Linked DNA regions of Rhinolophus ferrumequinum. The protein of the gene in region 1 binds, or shares a complex with, the protein of each later gene. Links are inferred from orthologs where the notes say so. Each region holds a gene or a part of one and is shown in the gene's direction. Other genes may lie near its edges.

Region 1 (7,719 bases):
GCAGCCTCAGTGGTGAGAACCCACCTCGCTAGAGCACTCGGGCCTCTGGGTGGAGGAGCACTGCTCCCACGAGGAAGGGGCAGGTGCTCACCCATGCCCTCTGCTGTCACTCCTCCCAGGCCGCCTCTGCCAGCCAGCCCCAGGCCAGCACAGGGAAGCCTGGCCAGTGCCTCCAGCAGGGCCTGTCTATTGACAGTTCATGACCAAGGAAACTGAGGCTCGGAAAGGTTGCAGGGCCCCTCCGGTAATGCCCCAGATTCCAGAGGCCCCACAGCCTCTTGAGTGTGGCCCAATCCTACCTTGGTCTCCCAGCTGAGGTCCTCCTACCCCCCCAGCTGGCTTTCTGCAGATGAGTCTCCTAGAGGGCCTCTCTGGACACCGGGGAGGGAAGGGGGACAGCCACAAGACAGACGAAAGCCCGAGCCCGAGGGCCGGCAGTACTCACCGCCTTGCCGAGGTCGTGTGGCAGGTGTGCCCACTGTGGGTTGTAAAGGATGCAGTAGTCCTTGCCTTTGGGGCCCCCCGTCTCAGAGACCACACGCACCATGCCGTACTCACAGGTCACCTGGAGCAATGGGGCAGGGAGGGGTCAGACCAAACAAGGACAGCCATGGGGGTCGGGCTGGTTTCCTCCCTCCAACAGGACACATGGGGCACAATCGTACGTATCTCAGGGGGGAGAAAACGAGGGAGGGTTGCAAGCTCAGGGACAAGTGTCCCCAGGGAAAGCTGGTGTGACCACGGCCCTGCACCCTCCTGGCCCGACACGCGCTCTGCACGCTTCGTGCTCCTGGGGCACATCCTTTTGCAGCCTTGCTGTCCTTGGGCTACATATGCCTCCAGACAGAGCCAGAGAGCCTGCCACGGAGACAAACAGGTAGCAGCTGCTGCCAACAATGGGCACATGATGGGGATGGATGCCAGTCGGTACCTCAGGACCCATACCCATAGCACGGATGCTGCTTTGCCAAGGTGGGGGCGTCCACCTTGATGGGCCGTGGGCCCTGACACCAAGCCTGGGGTACGGACTGGCTCTCAGACAGCCAAGCCCTCCGGGAGCTTCTCATCCTGGCCTGGTTACCTAGTGGTGGTGAAGGCGCCCTGACCTCACAGCCCGGAGGCTGACACCAGGCGCCGGTGCAAGTCCCGGCCCCACAGTCCCCGACTGCCAATGCTCCAGCTAGCCCAAGTCATCTCGGGCACTTCCTTTTGTCACCTTGAGTGAGGTGCCAACTGCCAAAGCAGTGCTCACAGGTACCAAGCTCCAAAGAAGCTGGGTGTGTAGGGCCACTGCCACGAGCACTCACAGGAGAGGAGGGTGGGGCGGGGGCTGCCTGAAGCTGACGGAGGCGGTGTCAGAGAACTTCACTAAGGCAGTATCCTGCGCCCACCTGCCTCTGCTCCCACAGAACCTCCACACACTTCTCATGACTCCTCGGTCCCTTAATAGGGGGGCAGAATTAGGAGGTCCCTCTTCCAGGTTCTCCCCACCAGAATGCCCCCAAGTACCGTGCTCAGTGTATGCCCCTTCCGATGGGACACCCCATGATCAGAGCCACCTCCTGACTCTGGGTCACTGCGGGGAGTGTACGGTCCCTCAATCCTCAGGCCTCATCCGGCCCACCTTCTGTGTTTGCAAATAAAGTTTTATTGGAACATGGCTGCCCTGTGCCTGTATGCAGGGCTTCCGGCTGCTCTCGGCTACCATTGCAGAGTTGGACAGTTGCCCGCAGAGCCGAAAATATTCAGTCTGGGCCTTTCCGAAAATGTTTGCTGAGCCCTGATCCATGAGAGCTGGGTAGTTGGCAAAAACTGTCCTTTGTGTAAAATGGGAATGGGTAGAAACTAGTTCTTTATAAAAAGGACATTTAGGAATACACAAGCACACCTACAAACTTTCCTCCCCACGACTCGCACAACTAAACCTGTGCTGTGTCCAACGCTAGGGAGGGCATGGTTTCGCTTTGAATGTGGTTTCCTTGCCTGCTGTGTTAAAGGAACCAGAAGTTCGTCAAAAAGACCCAATGCTGCACGTGCCCGTGTCCCAGCACGGCCCATCCCCACCTGGAGAACCAGGACCAGCCACGTTCCGACACGTCACAACACCGGGCAGGTCCAGGAACTTCCAGGGGACCTGTGCTTTAGGGTGAGTATGACAGCATCCACCTCTGGGGATCTGAGGGAGGCTAGAGCCCAGGCTGGGGCAGTCTCCCTTCTCATAGGACGTGGTGAGTTCTGGGAGGCGGTGGAGAAACGAGGACCCAGGTGGGAAGCAGAAGTTCTGGTGGAGCAGTAGGGGGCCTGGGCCAGGTGGTGGTGGGGTTAGTGGAGGAGGGCAGGGTGGCACTGACATTAGTTAAGATCTGCTGCTAAGCCTCTTGTTCAGGCCTTTGTTTACACATCTCATAGCAACTGGGGGATGTGGGCCTATTGGGGAAGGTGAAAGCCATCGCCCAGATCTCAAAATGGTAGCGAGTGAGTTTAGGGCCCAGTGGGGAGCGAGTCTATTCGCAGGTACCAGGAAGAACCAGAGCACCCGAGGGGCACCGTCCGGTGTCAGGGTGTGTTTACATCCAGGGGTCTGTTCTAGGAAGAGCAGGCCCCACTGTGCTCCTCACTCTCTCCCAAGACTACATGCTAAGGATAAGCCTCAGCCTGCCTGGGATAAAGTGCAAAGGCCCCAGAACCATGAGCCGTCCACCACTCCCTGCCCAGCCCAGGGAGGCCACATACCCAGCCTGCCCCTTTACCCTCTGTCCTTATCATTTACTCCCGTGGCCCTCGAGCTGAGGGGGAACCCCAGCCTGCCCTTCCAGTGCACTCCCAGGGCCTCCTTTAGAGTGACATCTATCTCAGGACCTAGGCATCAGACCAGCCTCCACACCAGCCACAGTGGACCCCTCACCGTCCCCAAATAAGTCATCCGCTCTCACACCTCCGCCAGCTCGCGCTGCTCCGACCACCGGCAGTGCCCTCCCTCAGCCTGCACCACCTAGCAAACTCCGACTCCTACCTCAGAACAGCCCTGGGGCACCACTGCTTCTGAGAAGCCTTCCCACTCGCTCTGAGGTGTTCCCGTGCCTCTTCATCCCCTCTCTCTGCTCTCATTCAAAACGTGTGGAGAGCTCCAACTCCTGGCCCTCAGATTGCTCAGGCCAGTGAGGAAGATGATTAAACAGGCTCGGGGGAAGTACAGGGGCATCCCGGACAGCTTGGGGGGAGACAACAGCTAAGCTGACACCAGGATGACCCCGGCATTCCAGGGAAACAGAGAAAAAACAAAACAAAACAAAGCAGCTTGCCTCCAATAGAGGACAGCTGGAAAGGGAGGGGCACTTCCTGGTCAGAGGGATCAGAGGCCTCCCAAATGCACCAGGACGCCACCTGAAAGCTGTCATCTGGACAAGACCTGAGACACTTTGAAAGAGATCACTACTGTTGTGTTGAGAATGGACTGGGATGTGGCGGACAAAAGCGGCCACAGGGAGAACGCTAGCCGCCCGCTGGGAGCTACAGCGGAGAGCTGGTGGTGGGCTGGAGTGGGCAGGTCAAGGTTAATGGCTGTGTTTCCACAGCTGTTACGGGCACCATTCCCTGAGCTGCTGAATCCAGGGAGAGGAAGGATTTGGAAATAAAAGATGAGCTTATGACAATGTACATCAGCCATCTCATGGTCAGTCCCCCACCAGCACCAAAGACCCTTAACGTTAAATGACAAAAAAGTAGCATGTTGCGCCTGCATCACCCCATGCACTATCTCGCTGAGTCCGCGCTGTACTCTTATCTCCTTTTGCGGAGGAGCAACTGACGACCAAAGCGGGGGAACTCCTTTGCCCAAGGTCATGGAGTAAAAGTGAGAAGGAAATTCGACCCCCCCTCCAGGGCTGGGCTCCTGGCCGCTCCCCGACAGTGCCAGGCACTGGGTGCCGCGCTGGACAGCTTACCAGAACCCCCGGGGTGGGCGCTGGCATCGTGCTTAAGGGATAACTGAGGCGCAGCCACCAGGTCAAGGCTACGGAGCCAGACGGGAATCTCCGCAGCGGTTAGGACGCCGAGACCAGCAGGGCCCGGGGGACGAAGAGGGGCCCCCAACTTCAGACCCGCATGGAAATGAGTGACGCAGCGGCTGGGAAGGGCTTCCGAGGCGGGGAACGAAGCCGGGCAAGAGACAGGCCCGCAAGGTCACGGCGGGGCTCCGGGCCCGCGGACCGTCCGCGCGGGGGGCTCGGGTCCCAGAGGCTGCCCCCAGGCTGGGCCCAGCGGGGGTCGTGCGCGCGGCCGAGGACCGAGGGGCCGGGTCACCGCATCTGGCGGGGCCAGCGGGGCCGGCGAAGCCCTCACCTGGGCCGCGAAGAGGAGGATGGCCGCCGAGAGCCAAGCCACGGGTGCCGCCGCCGCCATGTCTGCTGGTCCCCGCCGCAGGCGTCGCCAGATGTTTCCCAGCAACGCCCCAGCGCGGTGCGCCGCGCCGCGCAAGCGCCGTACACATTCTGCGCGTGCGTGAGTGGCGGGGTCAAAGGGCACGACGCCGGCGCCTGCGCAGAGTGGCGCGACACAGCAGAATGGCGGTGAGCGCGAGGCTGTGCTTGCGGGGCCGAAGGGGCGGGCTGCGCCAGGGCTGGCGGCGCTGTTCGCCTCACACGCTCTGCTTCTCCTGCAGGACAAAGAGAAGAAGAAGAAGGAGAGTATCTTAGATCTGTCCAAGTACATCGACAAAACGATCCGGGTGAAGTTTCAGGGAGGCCGCGAAGGTGAGGCCCCCCCCACTCCGCACCCTCCGAACGGTTAACGAAAAGTAACACGCGGCGATAGTGACAGCTGATGCCCGGGCCCAGCTTAGGCGCTTGGCCCAGATGACTCGCGCAAGTCTCCTAGCGACGCCGGGAGTTCGGAGGTGGTATACCCCTTCTGCGGCTGGGAAAACTGAGACATGGAAAGGGGACCAAACTTAATCCAACCCACAGTGGGTCGTCCGAGGTTGAGACTTTGCCTCCTGTGCGGTTCTGTCGCTGCAGCTCCTCACTGGTCTCCCTACACCAGGGTTCCTCAGGCTCCGCACTGTTAACGTTGGGGTCCGAATGTTCTAGGTCGTGGGGTCGGTCCTGGGCACCGTGGGGTGTTGAGCAGCATTCCTGGCTTCACCCAGTGTCCCTTGGGGGGCAGACTCGCCCCCGTTGAGACGACAGAGCCCTACAGTGAGACAGACTCCCGGTGTGGACTAGAGGAACCTGTTAAAAACAAATCAAATCTTGTTTGCTGTTCAGCTTTCTGGGGCTCCCCATTGTCCCAGGGTAAGGACAAACCTTTTGTACCTCAGAGTAACAAGTGGAGCTTTCGTCGGCCACCGGGCTGTAAAGGTACTATTTTCTCTCTGCCTGGAGTACTCTTACGAGGTTAACTTGTTACCTGGTTAACTGCCAGAGTCGTTTTCCTGCTCTCAGCTCGAGGCCCTTGCTCTGGGAAGCCTTTCGTGACCCTCCAGCCGGGGCTAATCCCCTTCGTCATAACCTTCTGGTAGCACCTGTCACAGTTTGCAGCTTTATGTGTTAACATGGTGCTTAACTGGAATCTAGTGAAGAGAGGGCAATACAGCGTCTGGTCCCCACCTTTCAGGGAAAATGGGCAAGCAGAGTGCTGACATAGTGGGGTACCTGCCTCCACTAGGTGAGACCAGGGCAAAGGGAGGCCTGGAAGAGGAGGGGTGGGAGGTGGAGCGTTACAAGTAGAAGCACAGGTGGGTGTGAAGGTCTGAGGCCAGAGAGAATGGTTGGGAGAGGCATCAGGGTGGAAGGGTGGGTGGCCTGTCCGGGGCACGCAGACCACACCCCCTCTCAGGTGCCAAGATACATCACTTGGTCAAGGAGCCATAACCTAGGATGCCTATTTGTTGTTTTAATTGAGGTAAAATTCACAGAACATAAAATTCGCTATTTTAATGTATGCAGTTTAGTGGCAGTTGGTACCTGCCTCCCGAATGACTCTTGATCTTACGCCTTTCTGTTTCGTTTTTTGGTCATTCCCACAAGCCAGTGGAATCCTGAAAGGGTTTGACCCGCTCCTCAACCTTGTGCTGGATGGCACCATCGAATACATGAGAGGTGAGCGCAGCCAGGGGGCTCAGAGGCCTCCTTGCCGGGCCTGTGTTACTGTCCCAGACCCACTCACCTGCCGTCTTAGTGATGAGCACGGTCCTTGTAGAGCAGGCCGGTACCGGGTGTGTTTCATCTCCCACCCACCCAGCATTCCAGGCAAGCTCAATAGGCTGTTGTCTGGGGACTCAAAGGATGTGGAGGCGTTTTGTGATCCACCATCACTGGTCCTGAGGCCCGTGCTGGGCACTAAGAGCGTACCCGGCATGGTTAGAAAGATGTCAGCCAGTCTCCTGCTGTCACCATGTGTTCACCCCGGTTCCTGTCCCTCCAAGTCCCCAGACCCTTCGCAGCAGCCCACGGCAGTCAGTCTGGCTCATCCTGAGCCAGGCATTAAGGGGATGCCAAGGCCTAGGAAGGAGGGAGGGAGGGAGGGCGGTGTCCCTCAGGGGACCGTCAGTGTCTTGACACACACGTTACTCTGGTGAAAAATTAATGGAGCCACACATGAGTGTCACGGGGCCAGAGGGGAGAGGCCCTCTTTGAGGGAGAAGCATGGTTTCCGCTTAGCCAATCCCGGGGAGCTTCTCTCTGCCCTCATCTTTTCTCTTCCTGCCTGGGTCTGCCTCCTTGGGTGGATACATTTCTTCGTCTGTAGGACAGCTTCACTGCATGGGGCCCGTGGGGAAACCAAGTCAGCTTGAGTGTGCAAAGCACTTAGGGCCATTTGGCCCTAAGAGGTGTGGCTGCTGCTCCTTCCTCAGAGTGTCTCCTACCAGGCGGCAGACTCACTTGTTGAGTGAGTCTGCGTCCCCAGCGGAGGCCTGACACACCGCACAGTTCCCGGGAGGGGAGGCTCAGGCCCAGACAGCCGTTGTCCCTGCAGGATCTGAGGGTAGAAGACTGCCTTTCAAATCTGCCTGGTTTCAGCGGGCCACCTGATTCTCCCCTCCCCAACATCTTGCAGTAACAGTGATGAGGACTTGTAGTCGCTGTCACCTCCGAAGAGCTCCCCTCGAACTTGCTGTTACTTCCATGGGGTCCCTCTCACCCTGCCATTAACTCCCCATTGACACGGGTGAACGGGCCCCACGGGGCTTCTGCCATTGTGCAGAAACCCAGAGCCCCAGACCAATTTGTATTCCAGCTGCCCTCTGTTGGCTCGGTGCCAGTGCCCCTGTTAGCTCCACCCCATAGCCCACGGTCCCCCGGGTCTCTGTGTTCTCACTTGCAGAACCAGGGCAGGCTTCTCCCCTGAAGGCTGATGCAGGGAGAAAGGCTGCATGTCTGGTTTGGGAGGTATTTGGCCTGCCGCCCGGCCAGCATGTCCCCACCGAGGTCCTGGAGGGAGGGGGGAGGGAATGATCGGGGTATCGTTCGATTTGGGTCTTCAGACCCCATCCCACCCCAGGCTCGGTGTCAGGTCCTCACTCCCGCCCTCTTCCGCAGACCCCGACGACCAGTATAAGCTCACGGAGGACACCCGCCAGCTGGGCCTGGTGGTGTGCAGGGGCACCTCCGTCGTGCTCATCTGCCCGCAGGACGGCATGGAGGCCATCCCCAACCCTTTCATCCAGCAGCAGGAGGCCTAGCAGATGGAGGCGAGGACAGGGCTGCCCTTGGACTCGCA
Region 2 (7,104 bases), on another chromosome or scaffold:
GAAGGGGAGGGAGACATGCTTGCAAGTCAGACCCCAAAATGAAGATCTCCCACTTTATTGGTATCAGAATTACTGGGAGAGCTTGTCAGAAAGGTAGATCCCCCCCCAAACCCCACACCTCCAAAGTTCTGAGCAGCTGGAGGTGCAGTCACATTGGGAGGTTGGGGGTGGATGGAACTGATGAACTCTGATACAAACGGGTGAAGGAAAGAAAAGAACAAAGAAACAGCTGAAAAAAATATGGAGGAAAAGATGTATGGAAGTGAGCAGAAGCACAGTAGCAAAGAACCATAAAATAACAAACATAGCTCAAAGAGCTGGGTGGAGCAGCAGGAGCCAGGTGTGGCAGGGCACATGAACTCAGTGAGAAAGCATGTTGGCACAGGCTTCATAAACCTCAGCTCTCCCTGGAGTCTCTGCTTGGAGAACACCAAGCTAGCCAAATAAAATTCTCAAAAATTCCAAAATACGAGGCTGGTCAAATGGGCCAATACCCAAGAAAGAGTGGCTACAAGGGACGTGGCCAGGCATGATCCTGCAACACTCTTTTCCCGTGGGTGCAGCAGCTGTGGGGTATGAGTGTGTGTGTGTCTCAAGATCAGCACAGACTGGTCCTGGCACCCCCAAACTAGGGGTGAGCTCCCTGGGCAGTGAGTCTCGCCTGCTGGCAATGCTTTCAGCCTGGTCAGTGTCGGCTCTGGCGCTTTGCAATCTCCTCCTGGATGCGCAACTCGAGGGCCTCTCGCATGGATGGATCCAGAGGCGTGTGTGCTGACACCTCCTCACTCACCCTTCCTGGGTCATCGTCCTATGTGGAGGAAGAGTCAGGAAGCTCAGGGCCTGGCCTCTCTGGAAAGGCAACCTGCCCTGTCCCTAGACAACACTCTCAAAGAATTCTGACTTACAACTTCTTGCCAGTGCCTGTCATTTCCCAGGTATCCCCTGTAATAGTGATTCTCAACTGAGGGCCACGAGCCCTCCCTGATGCTCACTGAGAATCACCGTGTGACAGGAGTTGTGCTCAAAAGCACTGCCCAGCAGTCTGTGCTTCCATGTGGAGCAGACACTTCCCTTTGGCCCTGATGAAAACAGTGACTCAGGGTCTGGGAGTGATTTCTCCCATGTCCCAGGACCTTCAGGCTGTAGTTGTTTCCACCAGGCGTACCTGATACACGATAACTGATGTGATTTCTCCGCTGTCTGCCTCATATTCTAAGCAGAAGAGCTGATGGCCAGAAGGCTCTGGCTCCGAGCCACCACTACTGCTGCCGTCACCGGACTCTTCACAGTCTGGGTTGCTTGGGTGGGTAGAGCCATCTGGAAGGATGAACCAGAGTGAGAAGGAGGAGAGGAAGGCTGCTGGAGTTCCTGACCACAGATAAAAGCCCCCATCTTTTTATGAACCCTGTGTGTGTTTGTGTATATATGTATGTGTGTGAAATGTGCCACCACTCAGTTTCACCTTTGTATCCCTGCTCTAGGGCCAGCACAATCCTGTCACACAGTAGGCACACAATGCACATCTGTCTAATGAATAGGGTTGGTAGGCAGTTGAAAGGCGAACAGAGCTCTGTCTGGGTTCAAGTCCAGGCTCTGCCATTTACGAGCTCTGAGATTTTGGGGAAGTTACTTAACCTCTCTGTGCCTATTTTCCTGACTGTGAAACAGAAACGATGAACAGTTCCTAACTTATGCAGTCCTATGAAAACATGACAACGTACAGAAAACTTCAAAGCACTTTAAGTCATGCTCACGAAGTCTAGCGTCGTACGTTAACTACTGCAATCGCTACGTCCAGGGAAGCTGGGAAAAAGGCCTGTTACTGGGTTTGTCTTGCCGGTTCCCAGGTATGTCCTGTAACAGTGACGTTTAATTGGGGGCCATGAGCCCTTCCTTTCCTGTCCTCCAGGAAAAACAATCACTGAGCGGAGACTGGGGAGCGTCGAGGTGCAGGTTCCAGGAAGGAACGGGATGAACTGAATGAACCCTGGAGAATAAGAAGGTTTTTGTTTTTTCCCATTTAGAGAAAGGGAGTGCATTGAGGCCGAGGGCCAGTGGCCAGCGCACGCTGGGAGGCAGGCTGGACGGGCGGCCTCACCTCGGTGTCGCGGCAGGTACACTGGCAGGTCGGGCTTGCGGGGCCTCGTCGGAGCGGGCGTGTGTCGCCTCCTCACCTTCTCCTTGGCTGCCTGCTTCACCTTCTTGTCGTAGTCATCCCTGCGGAGAGCCGAGCGGGAATCAGGGACAGCCCGGCTGCGCTGGGCTGGGGGTGGGGGAACGGCGGGGGCGGGGCGGTACCGGGCCAGCTGGTTCCGTCGGATGTGGTGCACGAAGCCGTGGCTCATGTCCAGCCGCCCGCCAGGCTTGCAGCAGAGCCCCGGCCCGGGATCCGGCGTCGCTGCCATCGGGAGCCCTGGGCGCGGAGCCGCCGCCGCCGCCGCCGCCGCCGCCGCAACGGCTGCACTAGTCACCCTCCCGCCGGGAGAGGTCGGCACCGCCTCTCGCTCGCCTTCCGGCCTCGCACCCCGACCTTCCGTCGGGAAAGGGCCGTGGGGCCGAGCGGCGCCGCGCGCTGAGTTCCAGGCGCTGACGCGGGGGTAGGTGGGGCGTGCGCGACTTCCACGCCCTGGGCGGGACTTTTCTTTGTGACATGGAGAAGAAACAACATTTTAGGTTTACAGCTGATAACGTCAAACAATTCAGCACCCATGACACCACTGAAGGTCCGGTGTGGAGCCTTCCCGTCCTTTCTCTGGGGGTAGGGTGTTGTGAAACTTGAGTCGCTGCACGATTTCGGCTGACTACCGGACCCCGCGGGGCCTCAGTTTCCTCATCTGTAAATGGGGACTCGGAGGGCACCTACCTCAAGAAAGGTGGTGAGGCGAGTGCTCTGGCAGGGCCCCAGCGCCGGGGCTCTGCAGCCGGCCAGCCGACCGCCCAGCTCGGCGCCCACCGGCCAGCTGTCTTAACTGCTCCCGCGGGAGGACTCAGGGCTTTTCAGGGGTCTGAGCGGGCGCCCCCTTCCAGTCCTCCTTAAAAGAATAGACAGAATTAGGAATTTGTCATTAGAACAGGGACAAACATTAGGAATTTGTCATTGGAACAGGCACAAACTGTGGTGCACCCACACAGTGGCATACAGCTGAGCGATCTCAAGGAACGCGCTGTTGCTACGACGCGGATGAATCTCAAAATAAACGCGCCAAAAAGGACACCCGGGTGCTTCCTGTACGTGCAAGTCTAGAACACGCACACTAACCTGTAGTGACAAAGCAGACACGTTTGGGGCTGGCGGGGAGGCTCCTTACGTTGATCGTGGCGATGGTTTCCGAGTGTACATACATCCATCCCGGCAGGATGGAGCAGATCCCACACTTTAACGTGCGGTTTATCGTATGTCAAAACACCTCAGTAGAACTTTACAAAGAAAGCAGTCTCGGGTCCTGGAAGGGGGTCGCGAGTCACAGGCCCTGAAGCCTTAGCTTTATTAGCGTCACTGTAAGTCCCCTTTGTTCAACGTTTCCATTTGCCTGTGACAATATGAACAACCCTCTAAGTGTGGAATTATATAGACTCCGGGTTGTTGCAGGAAGGAGATGATTTGGGGATGTCGCCTAGTTCTCCTGTGCAAGGGGCGTCGGTCTCCGAAGCCCGGAGACTGTGGAGATGATGCCCCCGCCCCATGCTGGTTTCGGGGCACAAAGTATATTGAAGATACCTGGGGTATCTTCAATGACAGCTTCCTTGATCCAGATATTATGCAGCCAATAAAAAGTTCCTGCCTCTTTAAGCTGGAAATTTCGGGTAAGGTGGCAGTAGGCCCGCAGATCGGTCTCAGGTGCGCACGCAGCCGCAAAGAGGCCACAACAGAGGCAGTACCGGTACTTCCCAGTTTCCTCCGGTATAATTTGTCCCCTTCGGCGACTCGTAGAGAGCCTTGGGCTCGGTAACAGCGGCGCTCTCGATTGGCTGTTTGCGGCGCCTTCGAACGTGCCTAGCTCCTGCGCTGGGCGACTGGGCCGGTAGTGGCGATGTCTGGCCGGTCCAAGAGGGACTCTCGTGGTTCCACCCGTGTGAAACGCGAGTCCGAGTCACGGGTCAACTCGAGTCGCGTCAAGCGGGAGCGAGATCGGGAGCGGGAGACCGAGGTGCCGAGCTCCCGGGGCAGTCCGGTGCGCGTGAAGCGGGAGGTCGACCCGCCTAGCACGCGCGAGGCCCCGGCGCCCGTCATCCCGGCTGTGCGGGTGAAGCGGGAGCGCGAGGCGGACGAAGACTCCGAGCCTGAGCGGGAGGTGCGAGGTGCGCGGGGCCGGGCTGGGCGCGGGCTCTACTCACGCGTTCTCTGTTTTCTTTCCAACCTTCCCGGGGTGGGTCTGGAAATCCACACTTTACCAGTGTCCGAGACCCGACTCGATTGGCGTCTTAATGAAGATGCTACTAGTCTTAATAATAACTATAGTTACAAGATTTCTAACGACAACAGCAGCTTTCCTTTATCGAGTGCCTAACGCGGGCCAGGCATTGTGCTTATTATTTTACAGGTGTTATGTCCTTCAGTTTTTATAAAACACCTGAGGATTGAGTCTTGCTGTAATTTCTGGAATTAAAAGACTATTCAGATTTGAGAGCCTGAACCCTGGTCGCCTGCACCCTACTGCCCTGTTAGCCAGACCTTAGCAGCCAGATCAGGCTTGTAATCCTGCCTCTCAGTTTGAATCCCGTTCCTCAGTTTCCAGGACTGTGTATCTGTATATGAATATACTCATATTAACTCTTACATTTTTTTAGCTCAGCGTCCTGTATTTGACATTTTGCATCACACACAGGATCCAGAGTAGTCCCTTGCTCATAAATGCTTGACAAATATTCTTTGCATAATCTAGTTAGTAATTTCAAGGTATTCTCTAATTTCCTTTGCTTAAATACTCTGTCAGCCTCAGATTTCCCTTTCTTTAGAAGAGAAATTGTTTCTTAGATATTTTGCATAGTTGTGGTATGGAGATTGTTTTCTCTGGGACACACTTGGATCCCAGTTGTTACTGACTTGTCTTTTTAGTTTTCATTTTATTTTTATCATGGACTAGATCACAGGTACCAAGATGTACTGAATGTAATGCAGAAGTACAGTGTAAAGAAGTGTGTGGATGTACATTCTTAAATCTGCGTGTGAAGAATTGTGAAGGGTCTGAGATTTCATCCTATTTGCAAGCTACCAAGTTAGGCTGCTTTCCTTTCATGCTGAAGGAAGACATGGGACTATTGGGCCTGAGACGGTTTATTGTTACAGCATTAACAGTAGCCAGAGTGTGGCATTGGTGTCAGTTCCCCAAGTCAGTTCCCACAATGCAATATGAAGGGAACCCATTTGGCCCAGTGGGTGGCCCTACAGTAGAGGAATTCTGAGCTTCCAGAGCCCGAGTCTTTTATAATAGGCTGTGAGCTTGCCTCCCCTTTGCTCTGTAGGGAGATAACTATTTCTGTCTTCCAAGGTTGTTCACTATATAAACATCCTTGATAAGATCCTCTGGATGGAGTTAGTGCCTCTGTTCACAGTATGTGCAGAAACACGAGAGACCCCTGGAGAATTGTTTCCTAACACTGTCAGCTTAAGAAGTGGTACATAACCTTGGAAGTTCCCATAGGCTCCTCCTTAGTTGGATATATGCTTTCCTTCCTTGCTTAGGTAATCACTATCCTGAATTTTTTTCTAATCACTTCTGTTTTTGTTGTTTATAATTTCATTTTGTATTTGGTATAAGTGGAATCATACTGTGTAGTTTTCTGATTTACCTTTTTTTTTGTTTTTGCTGGCCATATTTTTGAGGTACATCCAGATAGATGGCTACATAGTGTTCCATTAATGATACACCAAAATATATTTTTCCATTTTATTTGTGGGGGACATTTGGGTTGTTTCCACTTGGGGCTCTTTCAAGTATTGATGCTGTAAATATTTTTTAGTAAAGTACTCCTGGTGCATGTGTGGAAAAATTTCTCTAGGGTATATAGATAGAGAGATTGCCAGGTCAAAGGGTCTGCATATTTTCAGGTTTGATCTTGCTGTATTATTTTCCAAGAGGCTGTAACAGTTCTCGCTCCCACCAGCAGTGCGCAAGCATTCTCATTGCTCCACATATTCGCCAGCATTTGGAATTTTCTGATTGCATTTTTCCCCCCTGATAGGTGTGACACACATCATTGTGCAAGATTTGCATTTTCTTGATTATTGATGAGGTTGAGCATCTTGTAATATGTTTGTGGGCTGTGTTCCTCATTTTATTGTGTTGTCTGGCTTTTTTTTTAATTGCTTCAGTACATTTCTCCATGTAATTTGCAAACAAATAATTTGTTGGGGTTATATGTGTTTCTAATATATTCTCTCTGTGGCTTGTTCCATTAGTGGGTTTTTTTTGGGTGTTGCCAGGCTACCTGTATAGGAGCTCCCCTTGATTAGTTTTGCCTGTTTCTTTGTACTCGTAGTTGCCCCTGAGTACGGGTTTCCCATTTTCACAACCTGTGATGACTTTCCTTGCAGCAAAGAATGGCCGGGTGGATTCCCAGGACCGGAGGAGCCGCCACTGCCCATACCTGGATACCATTAACAGGTCAGTAGGACAGGGATGCCGAGGGCAGCAGCAGAACAGCGGAATCTAGGCAGGAAGCTCTTGGGAAGTTCCTGTTAATCTTACTGTTAATCTTTGCTCTTCAATTTAAAGTGTCAGAGGGCATGCTGTTTTAGGGTGGGCACATGCATAAAGAGCTTGTAGCTCATTTTGAATCCGTGTGATGAAATATCAGGATACGTAGTGTCAATGATGATAGCAACTTTAAATATTCATTGAGCACCCACTATGTGCTAGGCTCAACTCTAGATGCCTGGGATTTACTAGAGAAAAAAAGAGACAAAAATATGTCCTGAAGCAGTTAGTTACCTCATCCTGATACCCTTTTTTCTGATCCCTTATGGCATCTCAGGATGCTTTTCAGTTTACACCCTGAGGCACAAGCCACTTGTGCTGTTGAGCACTTGAAATGTGGCTTGAGGGACTGAATTTTAAATTTTATTTAATTTTAATTATTTTAAATTTAAGCGCCAATAATTGT
Region 3 (7,157 bases), about 42 Mb from region 1:
TCACTGAATTTTACAGCTGAGAGAGGTTTTCTAGAGTTCACAGTGGAGCATAAAGCATCACAGCATTTGAAAGACTCTCCTCAGAGGAGCTCAGACCCTGAGACCTTCACTTTTGAAATCCAAGTTATACTAAAATGCTGGCCAATGAAGTCGGAGCATTTATTTAAACATTTCAAACATTATATCTGGAACCAAGTACCTGTGATGCAGAATATGTCCCATCTTATGAAAAATAAAAGGCACACCGACTTTCCTGAGAAATTTGTCCTTCAGTCAATAAGTTTATATTACTTCTCAGAAGATATTACAGTAAATACAGTGTTGAATAACATAAACACTGGCCCTGCACTCACAGAGAACATATGAGGGAGAAAACATACACACACACACACACACACACACACACACACACGGAGAGTTATTGAATTGTGGCATTTACAAGTGGTACAAAGGAGAAGTATAGTATTCTCTGATCATGAACAAGAGGAGGAATATCTAGTGTGAGGGATTATCAAAGGCTTTCTCTAAGAAATTTATGTTTGAGTTAAGGCCTAATGTCTGATTAGGAGTTGGCCCAGTGAAGTGAAGAGCCTGGGCTCTAACTGATGAAACCAGTTTTAAAGCACTCGCAGTCACCCAGAAGATGATCAAGTCAATAGGAGGAAAAACGGAAGTGACAGTTTTAAGGCTTATGAATACAAGAGACAAGGCATTGGCCCCATGTGGGGTAGAGAGTTGGAATTGAGACTCTGCATAACAGTGAGATGCTTGAAAGGCTACACACACACACACACAGAGAGAGAGAGAGAGAGAGAGAGAGAGAGAGAGAGAGAGAGAGAGAGAGAGGTATTTAACAACTATGTGGTGTCTTTCTTTTCTTTTTCTTTAACACATAGGTTTTTTAAAAACTTTTATTTATTTTAAGTGTGTTTTTCCAGGACCCATCAGCTTCAAGTCAAGTAGTTGTTTCAATCTAGTTGGGGAGGGCGCAGCTCACACTGGCCCATGAGGGGACTGAACTGGCAACCCAGGGGTTACGAGCATCATGCTCTAACCAACTGAGCTAACCAGCTGCCCCAACACATAATTTTTACATCCCATGATAAAAGATAGATAATAGTGGTCTGAATACCCCGAACTAGAATATGACAGGTGAGATGTTTTTGTTGTCCAGTCCGAAGGTCCAGGAAAGGTCCAAGTGCATGCCAGCAGTTCATACCAGTAATGCATTGCTGGAACAAGACCAGCCAGTGTTCTTAGAAGGATAACACTGATTTAGGTATTAAAGTCTGCTTTGGAGACTGTTGGCCAATGCAATTCCACATTTGTATCTGTCATTGTTAGCATAATACAACCACCCACATGTCCACAAAGCTGTTTGTTGGATGTTTTTAAAAAATAAGCTAGACATGATACTTTTTCTTATGAACATGAAACACTGAAAAACAGTTTTCTAAAGGCATAGGACTATAGAAGTGCGGAACAAATAATAGAATGGTGAGCGTGAACCTTAGTATTTTTATACTAGCGTTTGCCTATTTTGACAATAATAGCTTCAGAGAACGAGAAGATAAGCCACAGACTGGGAGAAAATATTTGCAAAAGGCATAGCTGATAAAGGACTGTTCTCCAAAATATACTGTCAACAATAAAAAACAAACAGTCCGATTTAAAAATGGCCAAAAGATCAGAAAAGACACGTGACCAAAGAAGACATATAGTTAGCAAATAAGCATATGAAAAGATGATCCGCATCGTCTGTCATCAGGAAAATGCCAACTAAAACTGCAGTGAGATTCCACTACACACCTATTAGAATGACCCAAATCCGAAACATTGGAAACACCAAACCCTGTGCAGATGTGGAGCAACAGGATCTCTGATTCACTGCTGGTGGGAATGCAAAATGCTACAGCCACTTTGGTAGACAGTTTGGAAGTTTCTTACAAAACTAAACATTCTCTCCTTATACAACCTAGCAATTGCACTCTTTGGTATTCACCCAAAGAGTTGAAAACTCAACCCATGACTTGAAAACTTATGTCTACACAAAAACCTGCATACAGATGTTTATAGCGGCCTAATTCATAGTTGCCAAAACTTGGAAGCAACCAAGATGCCCTTTAGTGAATGGATAAATTCTGGTACATCTAGGCAATGGACTATTATCTAGCGCTAAAAAGAAATGAGCTATAAAGCTATGAAAAAACATAGAGGAACCCTAAATGCACATTACTAAGTAAAAGAAGTTGATCTGAAAAGGCTACATGATACTGCTTGATTCCAACTTTATGATATTCTGGAAAAGACAAAACCATGGAGAAAGTAAAAAGATAGTGAGTGGTTGCCAGTGATTAGTGGGGATAGAGGAGGGATGAATAGGCAGAGCACAAAGGATTTTTAGGGTAGTGAAAATACTCTGTATTATACTGTAATGTTGGATACATGTCATTATATGTTTGTCATATAATGTACAACACTAAGAATGAACCCTAATATAAACTATGGACTTAGGGTGATAATGGTGTGTCAATGTAGGTCGATCAATTGTAACAGTTAAACTAAATTAAACTATGTAAGCTAAACTAAAGTTTGTCAAATTATTTTTATGACCTTAATAAATTACTGTTTGTGTTCCCGTGTTTGAAGACTAGTCCTTGGTGGACTAGTATTCAGAAAAAATCTTGCACATGTTTTCTTTGTAAAATTACAGATGCTAAAAAAATAACTTGTGAAATATGGAAAGTTGCTTTGTGAGTTGAGAAAAGCTAATTATAAGTTGCTGAGAAGGTTCTGGGTACAACCACATTTTGATAAATTCGTTAGCTTTTGCAGTCATTCATGGCACCCATCTCGATTGTCTAGTTGGGCCCTTACAGATCCATGCCCCTTGGAAAGGTTGAAGCTACCTCTAGAGATGAACCATGCCCTTAAAATTCCTCATTGCCCCCTGACCACCATACCAGTTTTAATGGCTCCATCGGGGCTCTGTGGTAAAAGGGAAGAATTAAAACAAGAATGTTTTGAACAATTCAAACAACCAGGGAGAACTGTGGTACAATTTGACGTCTTTTGTGAACATTTTTTAGGGATAGGGCTTTGTATCCTACTATGTTCATTCTTTGTAGTTATTTTAATTTAAATAAAACTTTACTTAATATTTTGGTTTACGTTATACTTTATACCGCAAAAACTTCAAATATAGTCTTTCAATAAACCTGTGATGCTTTATCTTTACCCAAAATGAGCTTTTATATGAGGATATAAGAAAGTCTCTCTTTTCTACCAAATCAGAGAATGTTTTGGTAGAACATGCCTATGTTCTCTGAACCATACCAATCAAAGGTTCATGCTAAGAGATAGGCTTATAAGAGGGGAAAAGCATTTTTTTGTCTTAGAAAAAAAATTCTGCATCTTAGATTCTATAACGCTTAGGGTTAAGAATCTGTTTAAAGCTGTTATCACTGTTTATAGTGTTCTAAATTATATAGAATTAAAGTTTAAGTTGATGAGGGCATGTGTGTAGAGATAAAAGGAATCAAGTGAGTATGAGTTTTCCTCTCCCTTTCCATTAATTACAAGAATAGAGACTTCATGCTAAATTCCAAACCAAGTTCCCATAACAGCACTTAAATAATGCCTGCCCACCATTTCCAATTAGAACTAGTTTGTAACGTACCTCAATTTATGCCATTATAGTAGAGCTACTTTAGTGATTTTGATTCTTTTTGTGTCAATTAACGTTGCCACGGAAACAATCTCTTGCTAATAATGGCTTCGCCTTCACACAATCAAAATCCAGAGGTGGATTTAGAGATTTGAGGCCACTTGTTTTATGTATTTATTTGCATTAAATTATTCAAGGACATTTCTGGATATGTATAATCATTATTTTAGCAGTAAATCCCAGTTTCCTATGACTTCAAGCTATTTCTTACATGCCTGCCTAAAAGAAGTCTTGGCTGAAGATCACTTCCTCCTTTTCTTTTTACGTGTTTTTTTTGGGGGGGATGGAGTGCTTTCCGTTAAAGGAGAGCACACCAGCGCTTTCCACTTGAAGCCCACAGCACCAACTTTGCCTTTAGGCAAACCAGGATTCTTGGATTTGCGCGCCCCTGCAAGACCCGGTCTTTTTGGTCCCGCGGGCCGCCATAGCCCGGGAAGCACTGATTCGCTGAAGGAGAAAAGTGCGGCTGCCTTGGTGGTTTCAGTTTCGGTTTCATCCCGCTGTCGGCGGAGGCGGGGCTTGTGGGGCTCCCAGAGTGGGGGTTCCGGATCCCGGCCGGCAGGTGAGCTCGCGGTCGCGGGGGGCGTGGGAGGCCCCAGTGTTCCCTAACCCCGGGCCGCTTTGGGGAGTAGCAACTCCGGGCCGGCCCGGCAGCCCCGGGAAGGAGCGCCCATCCCGGAGCCTGCCGGTGGCGGGTTCCCCCAAATGCCGCGCTCACGTTCTCTCCTGCGCGCCTAGAATGGCTGGGAGGTCTCCGGTCGTGGGGTCTGGGGTCCCTGAGCCCGGCCCTGAGGCCCCTCCCCGGGGGGCGCTTAGACCGCGCGGTGAGGAACGGCACCGGCTGGGCTGGGGGGGGGGGGTGTAGTTCCGGAGGTCCTCCTGGGGATTCGGCGGGAAAGCGGACCCCGGCCACGGGGCCAGGCCTGCAGCCCTGCGTGGTGGCGCCCGGCCTCCGGGAACGAATTGCTGCGCCAGCTCACCTTACCGCGGTTTCAGGTTGGGGATGCCCACGACTGTGTAGTGTTAAGCCTGTCACCGGGGTTTTGTGTGTAGGGGCGCGCGCGCGTTCATAGCAGGTATTTTTGTTCAGGGTGTCTGGGGTAGGGTGATGCAGATAAGGTTGATCGCGATTTAGTGTACCCCCTTATTAATAGGAGACTGTTGTAGAAAAGCTGAAAATACGGAAGTTCAGTGAAGAAAATCATTCACTGAACCCGTCCACCAACAATTTCTTGCTATATTGTACTCTTGCTTGTGCTCATTTCTCCTTGAACTAAGAGCACTCATTTTATCACTTAACACTATATTTAGTTTTCCAATTTCATTTAAAATTTTTTCTTAAATATCATCTCTAATGTTGTATCCTTTGATTGTTCCGTCATTGTGTAGGTCCCATAAAGTTCTCAGGCATTTCCCAACTGTGGGGCGTTTAGGGTATTTGTGAATTCTTGTTTCAGTTTAGCATCTCAGATAGTACTTTGATAAACTCCTTTTTAAAACTGATTTCAGAGTATTTACTTGGACTAGATTGTGAGAAGTAAAATTGTTAGAATAGATGCTGTGTTCTAGTAAGGTCTTTTTAGGTCTTCATGCCTATTGCCAGATTGTTTTCCAAAATAGTTTTAGTAGTTTACATCATTCTTGTAGGATTGTTCCTGTTTCACCAAAAGTAGTGATACATTTCCAGTACATCAACCAGGAAAGTTGAGCCTCTCTTTGGATTTTTTTTTTTTTTTTTTTTTTTTTTTGGTGCTGTCTGGCAATTCTGCTTGCTTGAATTTTGTGAAGGAATCTTCAGAGGTTATGTTTGTGTGTGGGAAGTTACTGCATAGGCTGTTAGATCACTTTAGTCATCAGCTAGCATAACTGCCTTATTTTGCAGATGAGGGACCTGGGGCTTTGTTTGAGAGGTGAAGTGATGAGTGATGGGAGAGGCACAGCAAATTAAGTAGCAGAGCGGGATTAGAACTCAGGTTTCCCACCTCTCAAGGGCGTCAGGTGATCTCTTACTAAACTGGCATACTCAATATTAGAATTTAAAAAGATGTTTACATCACTTGGATTATTCTGTCCTTTTAGAATTTTACCAGGTAACAGATTTTAATCATCTCAGGGATCTGTGACACTGAAAAATGGGAAAGTGACCATCTTCATGGCCAGGACTGGGAATCCATTATTTAGAATGTCAAGCCCTTCAAGATTTTTTGACAGTTGTTTTCAGAGTCTCTAAACGTTGGAATAAAATTTCTAATAAGTTATAATTTATATTCTATCATGTGGTTAGAACTTAAATGTTTGTTCCCATTTCTTACACCTTGAAGGTTTTTTAAAACTTCTTGTTGCGTTAAGACCAGAGAACAATGGTTTTTTTGCTAATCGCAGAGTTTCTCCACCTCAGTTGACGTTTTGGGCAGATACTTTTTTGTTATGGAGGGCTGTCCTGTGCTTTGTGGAAGGGTAGGCAGTGTCCTTACCGCTACCTACTATTAGGTTGGTGCAAAAGTCATTGTGGGTTTTGCGATTATTTTTAACCTTTTAAACTGCAGTTACTTTTGCACCAACCTAATAGATCCCAGTGGCACCACGTCCTCATTCAGGACAATCCAGAATGTCTGCAGACATTTCCAAATGTCCCTAAGGGTAGGGGGCAAAATCCCCCCGGTCAAGAACTACTTGCTTCTAGGGATTATTTGGGAAACTTTATATAAATTCCAGGACCCCTTCCCTAGAGGGTCTGACTAGGAGTAAGCTGCAGGATCCTGCATTTTAGCAACATCTCTGTTGATTGGGCTGCAGCTGGTTCTTGGACAACACAGAAACGTTTGTTTCCTCCATCCTTCTTTTATTTGGTGCTCAGTAATAGAGATGTGCCTGTGTTACAGCTGCTGAAGTGCATGGACTGTACTGTCCTCGTCACTCCGCGGAGCTGGGCAGGGGAGGGACAGGCTGGGCTTGGCACAGCCCTTAAATGCCTCTTCCTTAGGCTTGGGCCATGTGCTTAGGTACCAGGGATACCACAAGAGTAAGGCATTTTCCCTGTCCCCGAGAAGCTTAGAACCGCGGGTGGGAGACTGGTCAGCCGGAAAGGAAGGCTCTGTTTAGAGAGCTGTCCTCAGTGTCTGAGCTTTCCCAGACACAGATGTATTCGGCTAAAGCTGCATTTACTTGGGTTGTAATGTTATGTTTCATAACAATTTTTTGCTTTTCAAACTTTTTTTCACCCTAAACTTTAAATACTCTAAGAATAGGTGAAACTTTACAGGTAGGCATTTCCAAGAAACAATGATTTGCATGTCTTCTGCTCAGTGACATAGCTCAAAATCACATTGGATATATTTCTTTCCGTTTGACCACTCTATTTCTTCGCAGGCTGATTTACAGTACTTTGTGACTTTAGGTATCCTTCCCCCTCCCTTCCCCTCCCAACCCC
Region 4 (7,960 bases), on another chromosome or scaffold:
ATGATGACAGAACCTGCATTCTCAACCACTATTCTACACCGCCTCAAAAAGAATTCGCAGTCTAGATCTAAGCTTTGCAGAGCACAGCTGTAACACTAACTAGGCCCTAACATTAGAGATTCCACTGAGAAGGAATCAAAAGGACATCATTCATGGATGAGGCTGCAATGAGCCGGGTTCATTCATTCAAACATGTATCCAAGGACCATTTCTTAGTGGGTTTTGTGTTCCCAGTGCCTGGTATACAGTAGGTACCAAAAGTTGTCTTGAACGAGTGAACAGAGCCTTACTATTTGCCAAACCAAGGCAGAGAAAGAAGACAGAAAGCATTCTGGTCTACAGAATGAAGGAGGAGGAACTGAGCTCCACACAATACGCTGGATAGGTCAGAAGATGGGAGACTTTCAAATGCCGCACTAGTGGCCCACGCTGCCCCCTTTCCACCCAATTTCTGGAGTGACTATCTTAGACAGATGCTACTTCCTTTTTGAACTCCAGTCACGGATCTGTTGAGAAAATGGCCAAATGCAGGAAAGAGGAAAAATAGTAAAAATCAAAGAAAAACACAAAAAATAAAAATGGACTCGTAAAATATGAAAGCTAAAGGAATTATTGAGATCATTTGGCCCATTATTCCTATTTAACTGAAAGTGAACTACCAGGGAGCAAGTGACTTGATGCAGGCTGCTCACAACTAGCCAGGCTGGTACTAGACCCCAAGACCAGTACTTACTCTTCCACGCCATCCTATTCTTTCAGTCACTAACCCTGAAGGCCCCTTCCAAGTCCTCTAATAATAATGGCCAATATTCGAGTACTTCCCATAGGCCATGTATTAACCTAAGAGCTTTATTTGTCTTAACTAATTCCCGTTTTGACCACCCTATGAGAGAGGCAATTATTATTGCCATTTTACAGATGAAGAAACTAAGACATAAGCAAGGCTAAGTAACTTACTCATAATTACAAAACTATGAATGATGCAGATGAGATTCAAATCCAATTTACAAACATTTTTTTCTTCCCTTTCTAGATTATGAAATCTTCTGAGCATGCCCTTGTCTTGGCAGCATATTCTTCAAATCTCCAGTGCTTAGCAGTGTAAAGCACACAGAAATTCGTAACTGTTTACGGAAATACTGAAGCACTGAATTTTACCCTATTTTACATTGTTAGTTAATTCATCAATTCAGCACATTTACTGACGGTTATATGTCAGGCCCCATGCTAATAAGCACTTCATAAACCTACTTTCAATCCTAAAAACAACTCCACAAAGTAGGGTGTCCCTGAATTACAGGGATGAAGTAACTTGTCCAAAACTCACAGCTAGAAAGAGACAAATTTTAGGCCATTCCAAGGGCTATATACACTTGCCTATAAACCATCCTTTTCAACACAATCCCTGTACTCAGACTTCCTAATCTGGTAGGAATAATGGTGACCAATTACAACACGGTATGATCAGTGCTAAAATAGTGGCTAAGTTCCAAATACTAAGAAAACAAGAAAGAGAAGAAGGGCCTGGGGTGAAGCCGGGACGTTTACAAGGTGACAACTGAGCAGTCCTTGAAGAATAAGTGGGAGTCCTCTTAGCAGAGACTATTGTTATTTGACCTCATTAGAACCCTCATCTAGTGTCGTCTGTTTTCTTCCAATCTATCAGCCCTCTCCTTTTTCTTCACTTTCCTCCCTATCCAGCTTAGATTCCACACTCCATCATTCAAACAATACTGTGACATTCCTTTAACTGTCTTTACAGTTTGCCTATATGGCAAAACACTTACGCTGGTGGAGTAGAATTGCAAACATCAGAATCCATTTTAGCTAGGTTAAGGAGAAAGGGATTTACAGCCAGGTATTATGTGGCTTACAAAATTACTGGAAGGGCCACAGGGGCAGGCGCTGGTAGAACTTCCAGAAACAACTCCTAATCCCCCAAATAACAGTCTTTGCCACAATCAAGAAAGTCATGGCTATCATTGCAGAATGTCACTAAACCGGAAAGCTGTTGACTAGAGAAACTCACTGTCTCTGCTATATTTGCCAGCAAAACTGGATGCCACTCTCCTCTCCATATTTAACTAGTTTTCACATTCAATTCTCATTTTAGGTGCAAAGGAGTCCAGATCATTTCTAGTGTCCCAGACTTTTCAGCAAGAGAAGGCACATTAGAGATGGGCATGTGTGTTAAGCAAACCAAATCCACAGTCCCTGCCATACTTGGATGTTTTTTTCCATGCCTGCATGAAATAGCCTGATAGTGCTGTTAAAAAATTATGATCTCTAACTTAAAATGGGTCCTTAATGCTGAAAGACAATCCCTGATTTCTCTGGTAAATGCATTCTCTCACATTCTACAATGATTTCCAAATCTGCAGTCTTCTCAAATGCCTGACCTCATCCCACTCGAAGTATGTAATTCCCTCTTCCTTTACTGAGAAAATAAAAGCTATGAGAAAAGAACTCATTTTACCAATACCAAACATACAAATAACCTGTATCTATTGCCTACATTTCCTTGTTTCTTTCTGTTACATGGAGAAACTATTTCTCTTCCTAAGGCTACTCCCGTTAACTGTCCTTGGGATCCCATCCATTCCTATGTTCTCAGAACACGACCCGTGAACCAATTTCTCTCTTGCATATTCAGTTTCTCCATCACTCTCTCAATTCAATCCTTGGTGACCCCTCATCTTCTTCCGCTTCCGTATCCTCTCCTCTCCTTTATAATCATATGTATGAAAAATACTCTCTAGATTCACAGATTCACTGCCTCCACGTCCTTGCCTACATCTTTGCCTCATATCTGGCTTCTGGCCCCATCACACCAACAAAATAACTCTTCCTAAGGATACCATGAGCTCCATGATGATAGAGCCAACATATTTTTTTCAATTCTCATGTTATTTCAATTTCAGGAGTTTCTGACACAGACCACTTCTTTGCTTCGGAGACAGCATCCATCTCTGATCCTCCTCCTTAGCTCTTTCTTCTCTCTCTCTCGTAGGTTCATGCTCCTGTTCTTGGCCATGAAATGTTAGAACTACTCAAGGTTCTAGCTTGGGTGATCTTACCCACACCTGTGGCTCAATTATCACCTATAGGCAAATTACTCCCAAATTTGTATTTCCAACAAAAGTCTCTCTTCTGAGTTCCAAAGCCGTATTTCAAACTGCCTCCAGGATGTGGTGAACAAACTCTCCCTTCCCCTGCCAAAACAATAACAACAAACAAAACTATCCAGTTGAAGAAGCCAGAAACCTAGAAGTTACATTTGAGTCCTCTTTCACTCCGAGTCAATCCGTCACCAAGTTCTACTGATTTTACTTCTTATATACCTCTAGAAACTGTCCAATGCTTTGCAGTTCCAATACGTCACTCCTCATTGCCAACAACTCTCACCTAAGTGGTCTGTCTGCATCTCTCTCTCTTCCATCTGTTCACACTACTGAGCCTGAGGGATCAAGGCCCCTCCCCCATCACACCACCCACTGTCCATCAAAAACAGAAAAACCCGCAGTGGTTTCCCATCAGTTTTATAGCAAAAGCTACAAAGTCCTGAAAGACCTGACCGCTACCTGTCTCCAGCGTCATCTTGTACCATACTCCCCTTCATTCTCTTTGGATCGGTCACACTGGCCTCTATGCTTTTTAGTCATTTTCTTTCCATTTGTCGCAGGGCCTCTGCCCATGCTGTTCTATAGGGAATATTCTGCCTTCCTCTCTTCACCTCATTAATTAGAAGTCTTCCTTAGGTATCAATTCAGGCATCTTTTCCTCAGAGAAGCCTCCCTGATTATTTCAGGCACTCATAACATCATCCGATCCAGTGTGCACCTCTCCTAGGTCGCACTTAATTTGTACATTTCTTGGTGAGATTGTTGTTTAACATGTTTTCCCCATTGGCCTCAAACCCCTGAGGTCAGGGGCCATGTCTGGTTCCCAATGTATTCTCAACGCTTTGCACAATAATTATCAGTTGGGCGATTAAGAAGGGTATGAGTCGAAATTTCTCAACAAGACCGGGCTCTGGAGAGGCAGGAGTCAGACATCTCCTTCATCTGTCTCTCGCAGGGGCACAGAGCAGACCCTAGCAAAACGCTGCAGAATCAGTGGCAGAAACCAGGCAGCCTCCTCAGTCAGACAGGACCCTAGGGGAGGCTGGGTACAGGCCTCTTCTCCCTGGGAGCGCCTGGCACAGGGCTGGACGGAGTAGGCGCTTGATGAAGTCAGCCGTCGAGGGCCTCAGGCAACCGCAGAGACCCCACAGCTCGGCTCCAGTCTAGAAAGGGAACCCAGGGGCTACAAACCGGATAGGATCTCTGAGCCTGCCTCTCCCCCTAGCAATCAAACCTTCATTTGAGAAATGCCAGGTTCCGACCACACAACCCAGGCACCGCCTCCAGATGCCGCAGCTACCCACCTCACATACCCCTTATACACTTACCCAGCGTCAGCTGCAGGTCTCCCGACCGCAGCATTGCGCGAAACGCCAAAACCCAGTCAGCGCGCTTCCACCCACAAGACACAGCGCGCCCAGGCGGGACTCCAGCTCCATTCGCCAATCCCAGAATCGTAATCCCATGACATCAGAAAGAACTGACCAATAACAAGAGACTATCCAGAGGGCGGTGCAGAGGGGAATATTGGAAGCCAATTGGCTTCTCCAAGCCGGAAGTTCTAAGGGAAAGACTAAGTCCGAACCAATCGTGCGGTGTCTGAGCTTGTCGGCGCGGTCTGCGGCGGGGCTGGGGATAGTGGGTGCCGCCATGATAGAACAACAGAAGCGCAAGGGCCCAGAGTTGCCGCTGGTTCCAGTCAAGCGGCAGCGGCATGAGTTGCTGTTGGGAGCAGCGGGGTCGGGCCCCGGAGCGGGTCAGCAGCAGGCGGCGCCCGGAGCTTTGCTGCAAGCGGTGAGTGAAGTAGCAGGCGGCCGTCGGCCCTCAGCTCATCTTCCTCGCTCCTTTCTCCAGCATCGGGATCGGGTGATCCCGCACCTGCCCTCTCCTCCGCACTGCGGGGCGGAACGAGGATTTCTACCTGGAGTTAAAGCAGAAAAACTGTAAAAGCGGCGGACACCCTGTGAATGCTCCATACGTTACACTGTTTTCAGTGTCTCGACCATCCTGTGAGGTGGCGTTAGAATTCAAGTTAAGGATCTTGAGCTCAAAATCGGGACTGGGGTTTTTGCATCCTAAATCTTCCAGAGATTCTGCTTCGAGTAAACAAGCATTCATAAAAGTTTGTAGAGTGGATGGGTGAATGAAATAATGAATGAATGAGTGAAGGAAGGACATGAATGATACTGGCTCGCTTTGGAACTTTGAGCAAGTTGCTTTTCCCTTTATTTCTCTGCACTATTAACAGCCTAAGAACAGTCAACATTCATTGAGACCTTGTACTAAGTACTTTTTTAATGAAAACTCCATTACTCTTGGCCTAAGAGTTAGGAACTGTTATCCCATTTGTAGATGGAAAAACAATGTAGTAAAAGATTTTAAATTATAACCCATGCTCTTTACTACATTTCTTGTGAGATAGACGTAGTGTCACACCTCTCCTGTGCTATTAGACTCAGATAAAGAAATAAGTATCTTCTCTCTCAACGCTTCAAATAGTGGGTCAGCAAATTTCTGCTGGCATCCTCAAAATATATCCAGAATTGCTACCACTTCTACCACCTCCATCACTGACTCCTGATCTAAGCCATTATTATCTCACCTGGCATGACAGCAAATAGGGTCCTAACTTGTATTCTTGTTTTCTGCTCTTGTATGGTCAACCTATTCTCAATCCAGCAGTCAGAGGAATCCTTCTAAATGTCAAACTATGTTACCCTCTGCTGAAAACTTTTGGTGGCTTTCCACTTCACTTAGTGTAAAACCAAAATCTTTAAAATCTTTTGCCCCCTTTGCCTTTTTGATCTACCAATTTTCCATTGCTCACCCTTGCTCCAATCACACTGGCTTCTGTGTTCCTGCCTCAAAACCATTGCATTTGCTGTTCTCTCTACTGGAATGCTCTTCTTCCAGATGTCCGCATGGTTTACACACTTAGCTCCTCCAAATCTTCATTCAAATATCACTTTTTTAGCGAGGGCTTTACTGACTACCCTATTTTAAATTGCAGCATCCCGTACTCACTAACCCAGATTGCTGCCTGTTGTTTTTGTTCATAACATATACCACCACCTATATGTTTTACTTGTTTTCTCTCTCTCTCCCTCCTTCTCTTTCTGCTTCCCTAACTAGAACACAAACTCGATTGTTTCTTTTGATCAATACTGTTTTCCCAGTGTCTAGGATAGTGCCTGGCACATTGTGTTTTTTTAATAAAGAGTAAGCTGGAAACTACTGACAAGTTGGGGGGTTTTGAAATGTAGTTGTTTATCTGACAAGTAAAAATACCAGCCCAGGTGTCAGTGTATTGCCCAAGCTTAGCCTTAGTGTTAACACCATAATCAAAAGGGCTTTCTACAATAAGCTATACGCTGAAGGATGTTGGGAAGCTCAGTTCAATCGTTCATTCACTAAATGAGCTAGAACTTGGGAAAACTGGTGAATGACACAGGCAGGATCCCTGCATTCACAGAGCTTTTCTAGTGGGGGAAAAGAAAATATGTAAACAAATACAGAAGGAGGGTAATTTCAGGTAATGGTAAGCTTTGTGAGTGTTAGTGGAACACAGAGTAGAGGTGGGGTACTGATAGAGTTTGAGTGATCAAGGAAAGACTCTCTGAACAGGAAACATTTGAAAGCCGCCAAATGCAGGAAGCTCTCGGGGAAGAGGATTCCTGTCAAGGGCAACAACGAGTGTAAAGACCCTGAGACAGAAATGAGTTTAACATGAATAAGCAATTGAAACTTGGCTATGGGACAGGAGCAAAGTGAGGGAGGCGGAAAGTTAATGTAACAGGCAGACACTGGACACTTCAGCAGGAAAATATCATATGGGAGGCATAAGTTACGTGAGAAGAGTTATAGTTCTCTAAATCAGGAGAAATCCACTCACTCATTTCCCTTGTCTTCCCTCCACCACCACCACCACCCCCCACTCCCCAATTTTGCGGCCTCCTTTGCCTCGATGCAGTGACTACCCTGTATGTCTCTTTTTTGCTTAGGGGCCTCCAAGATGTTCTTCCCTTCAAGCTCCAATCATGCTTCTCTCAGGACATGAAGGGGAAGTATACTGCTGCAAGTTTCACCCCAATGGATCCACCTTAGCATCTGCAGGATTTGACCGACTGATATGTAAGACATAGTTTTTGAATCTTGAATAATCGCTGTCTGCCAAATAGCGGTTATTTTTTAAAACCTTTGGTGCCACAGAAGGTGTCAGTCTGAGTTGGTCACATAAGCTGGTGGCTAGCACGCTAAAATAGGGTTGTAAAAATGCTGACTGAGTTTGGTTGTAAAACTCAGGGTCTGTGTGGTAAATATAGGAGTTATGTTATTAGTTGGGAAGTGAGTGGCTCTCCTTTGAGAATATCTTCCTCATGGAGGCAAATCTGGAGCTGATTTAGCAAAATAAGAAATCTAGGCTTAACTGGCTAATGGGAGTATTGAGGAGAGAGATAACTTCCTTTCCCCGAAGGTGGGAGGCTGTCTTCTTGATCCACTCAGAATCTTAGCATATGGGAAGGAAGGAGAAAATCCTAAAGTGGCAGTTCAACTTGGATAACCTACCGGTACATCATTAGGATCTGCTGCCAGGTGCTTAGCTACTAGTAAGGAATACCCATTTGTGAGAAATAAGGAGAAAATTCACTTTGGGAGAGTGGTGAGAAAGAAGGTAACAGAAGCATCTGACATTGTCTTTGGCTCGTTGTTTATAACTCTATCTCAGGGTGGATGATAACTGTCTCTTTTAATTTAGGTGTCCTAGTTTAGGTGTTCACTGTCTCTTTTGGTTTAGGTGTTCTAGTTCTGTGATCCTTAAAACTTACTGGTGGCCAAGC

The links.
Region 2: LSM7 (region 1) and USP39 share a complex: the UniProt entries of both Homo sapiens proteins name them as parts of the U4/U6-U5 tri-snRNP complex. The link is inferred for Rhinolophus ferrumequinum from reciprocal best matches to the Homo sapiens genes LSM7 and USP39.
Region 3: LSM7 (region 1) and LSM6 share a complex: the UniProt entries of both Homo sapiens proteins name them as parts of the precatalytic spliceosome. The link is inferred for Rhinolophus ferrumequinum from reciprocal best matches to the Homo sapiens genes LSM7 and LSM6.
Region 4: LSM7 (region 1) and SNRNP40 share a complex: the UniProt entries of both Homo sapiens proteins name them as parts of the U4/U6-U5 tri-snRNP complex. The link is inferred for Rhinolophus ferrumequinum from reciprocal best matches to the Homo sapiens genes LSM7 and SNRNP40.

What each region holds. Positions count from the first base shown.
Region 1 is NC_046301.1:60,955,660-60,963,378, forward strand, and holds the start of LSM7 (U6 snRNA-associated Sm-like protein LSm7), read left to right. Parts: upstream 1-4,454; 5' UTR 4,455-4,562; coding exon 4,563-4,568; intron 4,569-4,660; coding exon 4,661-4,751; intron 4,752-6,026; coding exon 6,027-6,098; intron 6,099-7,538; coding exon 7,539-7,681; 3' UTR 7,682-7,719. Other genes in the region: SPPL2B (signal peptide peptidase-like 2B), read right to left, coding at 446-565, 4,342-4,401. UniProt on the Homo sapiens protein: Plays a role in pre-mRNA splicing as component of the U4/U6-U5 tri-snRNP complex that is involved in spliceosome assembly, and as component of the precatalytic spliceosome (spliceosome B complex).
Region 2 is NC_046296.1:8,725,378-8,732,481, reverse strand, and holds the start of USP39 (U4/U6.U5 tri-snRNP-associated protein 2), read left to right. Parts: upstream 1-3,937; 5' UTR 3,938-4,031; coding exon 4,032-4,299; intron 4,300-6,535; coding exon 6,536-6,605; intron 6,606-7,104. Other genes in the region: C13H2orf68 (UPF0561 protein C2orf68 homolog), read right to left, coding at 686-808, 1,166-1,317, 2,099-2,217, 2,299-2,405.
Region 3 is NC_046301.1:19,253,055-19,260,211, forward strand, and holds the start of LSM6 (U6 snRNA-associated Sm-like protein LSm6), read left to right. Parts: upstream 1-4,061; 5' UTR 4,062-4,289; intron 4,290-4,296; exon of another isoform or gene 4,297-4,551; intron 4,552-7,157. UniProt on the Homo sapiens protein: Plays a role in pre-mRNA splicing as component of the U4/U6-U5 tri-snRNP complex that is involved in spliceosome assembly, and as component of the precatalytic spliceosome (spliceosome B complex).
Region 4 is NC_046292.1:21,444,022-21,451,981, reverse strand, and holds the start of SNRNP40 (U5 small nuclear ribonucleoprotein 40 kDa protein), read left to right. Parts: upstream 1-4,723; 5' UTR 4,724-4,772; coding exon 4,773-4,916; intron 4,917-7,123; coding exon 7,124-7,253; intron 7,254-7,960. UniProt on the Homo sapiens protein: Required for pre-mRNA splicing as component of the activated spliceosome. Component of the U5 small nuclear ribonucleoprotein (snRNP) complex and the U4/U6-U5 tri-snRNP complex, building blocks of the spliceosome.